Linked DNA regions of Saccharomyces cerevisiae S288C. The protein of the gene in region 1 interacts with the protein of each later gene in a biochemical or structural test. Each region holds a gene or a part of one and is shown on either strand. Other genes may lie near its edges.

Region 1 (3,644 bases):
TTGTAACAGATACACTGACCAGATAACGGAGTACAATAACAACCGCATAGAAAATGCACAAGGCTCTGGTAATAACCAAAATACGCAGGTAAAAACGACCGACAAACTGAATTTTAGGCTCGAAAAACTATGTTGGGATGAAAAAATCATTGCTATTGTAGTGGAACTGTCTAAAGATAAAGATGGATGCATAATTGATGAAAACAATGAGAAAATTAAAGGGTTGTGTTGTCAAAACAAAATTCCTCATATTACGCTGTGCAAACTTGAAAGTGGTGTTAAGGCTGTTTATTCCAATGTTCTATGTGAGAAGGTTGAATCTGCTGAAGTTGATGAAAATATAAAAGTGGTGAAATTGGACAACTCGAAGGAATTTGTTGGCAGTGTATATTTAAATTTTTAGACCGCGGTCTGGCTGTCTTAAAAACGTTAATTTCGTTTAACCAAGTGCTTTATTTGCTTGGAATGTAACATAGTTTTACTAACATTTTTTTTTTTTAATTGACATTGCAAAATAATCAATGTATATCATTATTCATGCATCTATATCTGTATTTATATATTAGTTATTAAGAACACGAAAGAAGGATTATTTCAAGTCCTTGAAATTACCTTTATTATTAACAAAGATATCAATGGCAGACATAGCTGCATATAATCTGTTTTCTGCTTCTTCAAAGACTATGGAATGCTCTCCATAAAAGACATCATCACTAACTTCTTCTTGATGTCTTGGCAGACAATGCATAAATTTGTAGTTTGGATCAGCCACAGAGACAAGTTCTTGATTGATTTGAAAACCTTTGAATTGTTTCAGCTTGGCCTGTTTCGCAAATTCTTCACCCATGGAAACGAAAGTATCGGTTACTAATATATTGGCATTGGTGGAGGCCTTTAAAGAGTCGTGTGTTAATTCAAATGTCGCACCGTTTCTCTCAGCAACTTTCTTTGCTTCATCGACAATATCGGAATCCATTTCAATACCGGGGGGAGTGGAAATACTGACACTTATACCGAATTTCAGACATGCGATGCACATATCATTTATGACATTATTGGCATCACCAATCCATGCCATCTTCAATTTTGAATTGATTCCCTTATTTACTTCATCTAGAGATATATTGAAGTTTTCGATTATTGTTAAAAGATCACAAATTGCTTGCAAAGGGTGGAATTTGTCACATAGAGAGTTGATGATCGGTACAGAGGAATCCTTGCAAAAAGCAAGTATGTCTTCATGTTTGTTCACACGGGCAAAAATACATGAAACCATAGATGATACAACCTTGGTGGTATCGTAAAATGATTCATTGACACCAAGCTGAATATCCTCTTTACCTAAAAACATCGGTTGGGCACCAAAGAAGGTGGCTGCACCTTCGGTCGAAATTCTCGTTCTAGTTGATCTTTTAGTAAATATTAAGGCTATAGTTCTACCCAATAGTTTCAGATGGTTGGATTGGAAATCATTCGTTTTATTTGCTTTAAAAACATTCTTGAAATGTTGAGCTCTTTGTACTAAGATTCTGAATTCTTCATCAGAAAGATCTTTTATAGAAATCAAATGACGTAAAGATGAAGGCGTGGATGCTGTGGTTGACATGGTAACGAGTGTACAAGTTGATGGGTAGATGGCTAAAAAAAAAAAAAAAAATTGCTCGTTATTAACTGTACTTAAAGGACATACAAGGAATAAACTGCCTTTAGAGGTGAAAAGTCGATTTATATAGGTAGATTTTTTTGGATGGACGGGAATGGGAAGCCGCGCCGAAGAAAGAAACGGTGACCAATCCGGCTCAAAAAAATTTGTCCGGGCATTTCTCAGCGGCCGATACTGCTGTGAGTTGCACTTAACGGAAAAAATGACCAGTTTTTTGTCATCTCGAAACGAAACGGAACAAGAAAGCATATGAGTCACGACGTGACCCTCGAAAATTCACTGCTATCAGAGGAAGAGCTGAATGAGTAATACGAAGGAGCGTAATGTTAGAAGGTCGAGTTCAAAATATTCTGGATCTTGAATTTTTGTTTACTGGAGTCATGGTTGCTAACGATGTCTCGGTTATCTAAAATAATATGATCTAAATATTTTTTCTTAGAAGACGTAACTGATGGCGAATCAGGGTTTAAATTTAAATTTGTATCTGTGTTGAAATCTACCGAATTGCTATCTCTGTTTTCAAATAGGGATAACCTTTGTGAAAGCTCTTTATTCCTATTCTTGCATTTATTTTTACTTTTTTTAAAAGGAATTTCTAGTGGTAAGCTATTGTCACTGTCACTATCCTCTTCATCATCATCTTCCGCATATCCTTCATCTGTTTCGTAGTCATAGTTTTCAAAGTTGTTCATAAAAATTTTATTAAAATCGTATGGTGACGCATCTAGGAAATTGGAGTTAGAACTCGAGTGTTGCAAAAGGTTTAGCTGGGTATTGACCTTAGACGCGAAATTCGACTTGACTGAACTTGAATTAAAGCTCGATACGGCATCCAAATATCTCAATTTATTCAAACTTATTAACAATCGTTGCTCTTCTTGTGAGTAATGGATTGTCTCAAAAGGAAGTAATTTGAAATTGATTTTGAGGATTTGTAAAAAAGGGTTTGTGGAAAATTCATCATAGTACCATATTGGACACCAGTGATTTAAAAAGTTTTGAAATTTTTCAAACTTTATTTTACTTGAGTGGGGCTGGTTTTGACCACTTTCGTATTTAAGTGATAATGACCAATTGTTTAAATTGTTTAAACATAAGTCAATAATGTCAATACTATTGAAGGGCGTAAAATGGTAGAGATTTAGTTGCTGTGGTTGTAACTGTTGATTATCATCATTATTAGAGTCATCTGTAAGAATTAAAAAATATAGGGACAATATCTCTAACGAGATATCCTCTTTCTTCAAATCTTGGTCCCCTTCCTTTAAAGTCATTAATTTTAAACTCAAGTAAAATAAAGTTAATTGAATCTCCACAAAATCAGGTTGATTGAGTTTGTGATTTAGACCCGTCAAATTCTTAAGTAGTAAATTTGTTGTTAGTTTTTTATTTGAACTGGATGTTAAGAATCGGAAGTTATCGTGATCACTCAAATTGTGATAAAGGTTCCACAGTAATAAATTTTTTTTAAAGCTTTCCAGTTCATTCTGGAAAAATTGGAAATTTGGGTCCGAAACATTTAAAGATGAGATATTCAACAAATTACATCCATCCAAAGAATATATGATGAAGTTTAACAAAATTTCAAAGGGCTTCAGCCTGGGGATTTCTAGAACCGAGATTGATTTCGGTTGAAATTCTTCAGTTAAAAAGTTGGACTTTGGTAAACCTTGAATTAAGGACCACCATGAGCTTAAGAATTGAAAGCACCAAAATGTCACTATTCTATCATCCTCTTCATTAGATTTATTATTATTATTGTTGCCTGATATAGGAATTAAATTTTTGGGATTTATGTACAATCCCATATTCAAAATATTTGTAAAGTTTAGGTTTAGCAAATCATTGGTCCATATTACTGAATTTACATTTGAATGTTCTGTTAACGAGCTTTTACTTTTACAAGAGTCAACAGAGGCGCCCATAAAATAAAAGATGGATAAGTTAACCAATTGCAAAACTTTCAAGTCTAATTTGCTGT
Region 2 (3,596 bases), on another chromosome or scaffold:
TGTATAGCAAGTCTAATTCATCAAAGATACCATAATACAAGTCCAAAAATTCTCTCAATGAAGCTTCATTAAACCATATTTTCTTAATTTGGTCAATTTGAAAGTTGCACTTTCTGGTTTTATTGAATTTCCCCAAGAAACTGCACACTCGGAATGGTGTGCCGCCAAACCTTAAAATATATCTAAAAGTACTTAATTGTTGACTGATAAAATCAATTTTCTTGTCAAAATTTCTCAAAAGAGACAGGAGAAGTACTTTAATTACCGTGATTGGATGCCTTAGTGCGACTTTTACAGTCAGATTTTTCAAAATCTTGGTATAGTACGTTAATACGGAAGGGTCCAAAACAGTTAAATTTCGCTTAGACTTTTCGATAAACAGTTTTAATATATCCAGAGCGTATTTGATAATTTTGGCTAATTTGTCTCTACCAGATAGAGAATCCAATATATATTTTAAGATGGTAATATTATCCACCATCTTTGTTTTTGCTTGAGAATCCTCATCATCACTTCTCGAGGATTCAGTATGCGACTCGCTTCCACTGCCTGCACTGAACTTCTCTGCACCGGCGTCTGATGAATGTGGATGGGTATTGTCATCCTGGGCGTCCTGGTAACTTGCCCCAGAATAAGGTGGTGTTTCTGAACCGGAAACGATATCTGTCGTGCCAAACTGACTCATTGTTTTACGACCAGTTTCTATAGGTGAAGACTTACAGGGAAGTTGAGGATATCGACTCTATTTGTTACTTTCTCCAGCATACAAATTACCGATGATTCTGAGAAGAAAGAAGAAAAACGTATTTCAAAAATTATATAACCTGAAATAATAAGCCCAATCCCACCGGAATTTCATATACTATCACCGACCTGGAAAAAAAATGAAGAGTAAAAAGAAAAAAATAAATTTAGCGCCGCTCGGTTTCGATCCGAGGACATCAGGGTTATGAGCCCTGCGCGCTTCCACTGCGCCACGGCGCTGCTAAATCATGTGAGTTTAGCGCGTACCGAGCAAATTCACCAAAATATTTACATCCAATTTGCTCCCCTCACTCTTCCCCGATGTCGGTTGTGATTACTGCTACGCATGGCGACTCTTAATTTCTTTCAGGTATAGTAACATTTACTCCTTTAAGTAATTGTCTATTTTTCCTCGACACTGTATGTAGTTACCTTTCAAGGAAGCTATTCCAATACCATCGTGAGAAAAACTCTATTGGATACTTCATCTAGCTCGTATATATGCTTTTTAAACTTTATACCAAACCGTGTAGGCAAAACTGGACCGCCCGGTAAGTTCTGCTATTAACAAATTAAATAAAATTGGCCAAACTGAGGATTGACAGTTCTGAATATCCAAGATTACTGACTTCAATTTTCTCACTTCTCATCATAATATTCCGCTGATTTTTACATACCGTATATCCAATTTACGGCCCTTCACATATAGCGGCGAAATGATGGTAAAGCTACGCATACTGTCTGACAGGACCCTATTCTAGCAACCTTACATGAAACAAAAACAAACAACATCACATCATACGGATGAACTACGGGTGCAATCCCTGACTCATCAATGTTTATCATAAACTTAGATATCAACACTGATAAACCCCACCTCTATTTTTACTGGTTCTTCACTTTTTCGATGCCGCACCGTCGCCCGCGATCCCCGCCCTTTGATTGCTCCTTCCATTAACAGTTTTTTTCTATCCCTTACAAGAAGCCGAGACGCCGCGAAAATATCGGCTAGTGCGAATAGTCTCTAGCTCTTGCCCTTCGCAAAGCACCGTGCTGCTAATGGCAATCAACAGCGCATCGCCGCTCGCTGAATTTTTCACTTAGCGGTAGCCGCCGAGGGGTCTAAAGAGTATATAAGCAGAGCTTGCGGCCCACTTTCTATCAAGATCTAAGACTGTTTCTCTTCTCTTGGTCTGTATATGTTTTCTCAAAGTTAGCAGAAACAACAACAACAACTATATCAATAACAATAACTACTATCAAGATGGAAACAGGACCTCATTACAACTACTACAAAAATCGCGAATTGTCCATCGTTCTGGCTCCATTCAGCGGCGGTCAGGGTAAGCTTGGTGTCGAGAAGGGCCCTAAATACATGCTTAAGCATGGTCTGCAAACAAGCATAGAGGATTTGGGCTGGTCTACGGAATTAGAGCCCTCAATGGACGAGGCCCAATTTGTGGGAAAGTTGAAAATGGAGAAGGACTCCACAACTGGGGGTTCCTCTGTTATGATAGACGGTGTCAAGGCTAAAAGAGCAGATTTGGTTGGTGAAGCCACCAAGTTGGTGTACAACTCCGTGTCGAAAGTGGTCCAGGCGAACAGATTCCCCTTGACCTTGGGTGGTGATCATTCAATAGCCATTGGTACTGTATCCGCGGTTTTGGACAAATACCCCGATGCTGGTCTTTTATGGATAGACGCCCACGCTGATATAAACACCATAGAAAGCACCCCCTCTGGAAACTTGCACGGCTGTCCCGTGTCATTCCTAATGGGTTTGAACAAGGATGTCCCACATTGTCCCGAGTCGCTCAAATGGGTTCCAGGCAACTTGAGCCCAAAAAAGATCGCGTATATTGGGTTGAGAGATGTTGATGCCGGAGAAAAGAAAATCTTGAAAGATCTGGGTATCGCCGCCTTTTCCATGTACCACGTTGACAAATACGGCATCAACGCTGTCATTGAAATGGCAATGAAAGCCGTGCACCCAGAAACAAACGGTGAAGGTCCCATTATGTGCTCCTATGACGTCGATGGTGTAGACCCATTATACATTCCTGCTACAGGTACTCCAGTGAGAGGTGGGTTGACCTTGAGAGAAGGTCTTTTCTTGGTGGAAAGATTGGCCGAATCCGGTAATTTAATTGCGCTAGACGTTGTTGAATGTAACCCTGATCTGGCTATTCATGATATCCATGTTTCAAACACCATCTCTGCAGGTTGCGCCATTGCAAGGTGTGCATTGGGTGAAACCTTATTGTAGTTTATATCATCATCCCTTTTATCAAAATAAGCATTCTCTTTTTATTTTAGTTAAGCACATGCATACATAAATTTACGAACAAAAAAAGAAAATAAATTAAAAATAAAAGTAGTGTATCTTCGTTACTTTTCATTCTTTTTGGTTAACCCACGTCTAATTGCCAATACACTATCGACGATCACGGCATCTACACCTGCTTCAATTTGTATACTGGCATTTTCGGGATCATTGTTGTCCACACCGTAAGTGACACATACCAGCCCATTAGACTTAACCACTTGCACCAACCGTGGGGCCTTTAAAATGGGTGCTGCAGCAGATACAATCCCCAATAAATTCCACTTCTTAGCAAATCTTATACCGTTTTGTAACGATGAGGCTCTCAAATCGGCCATCTGTTCACTTCCACCTTCCGTCAGGAACAAGATCGGAATAACCGGTTGCTTTAACGAAAGCATGATGCAAATATCCGGATGAAATGACGAAAAAATGATGTCCCTACCATTCGCATTGTCAAAAACTACTTTTAACACGGTGTCAACCCAATGGTTCATTTCCATCATTATTTGCCCTAACTCTTCCTCTT

The links.
Region 2: the proteins of ARG3 (region 1) and CAR1 form a complex in vitro, tested with the Saccharomyces cerevisiae proteins (one study listed by BioGRID).

Annotation. Positions count from the first base shown.
Region 1 is NC_001142.9:266,761-270,404, reverse strand, and holds ARG3 (ornithine carbamoyltransferase), read right to left. Parts: upstream 1,607-3,644; coding exon 590-1,606; downstream 1-589. Other genes in the region: TRL1 (tRNA ligase), read left to right, coding at 1-403; SIP4 (Sip4p), read right to left, coding at 1,990-3,644.
Region 2 is NC_001148.4:337,936-341,531, forward strand, and holds CAR1 (arginase), read left to right. Parts: upstream 1-2,008; coding exon 2,009-3,010; downstream 3,011-3,596. Other genes in the region: PEX25 (Pex25p), read right to left, coding at 1-685; GDE1 (glycerophosphocholine phosphodiesterase), read right to left, coding at 3,133-3,596.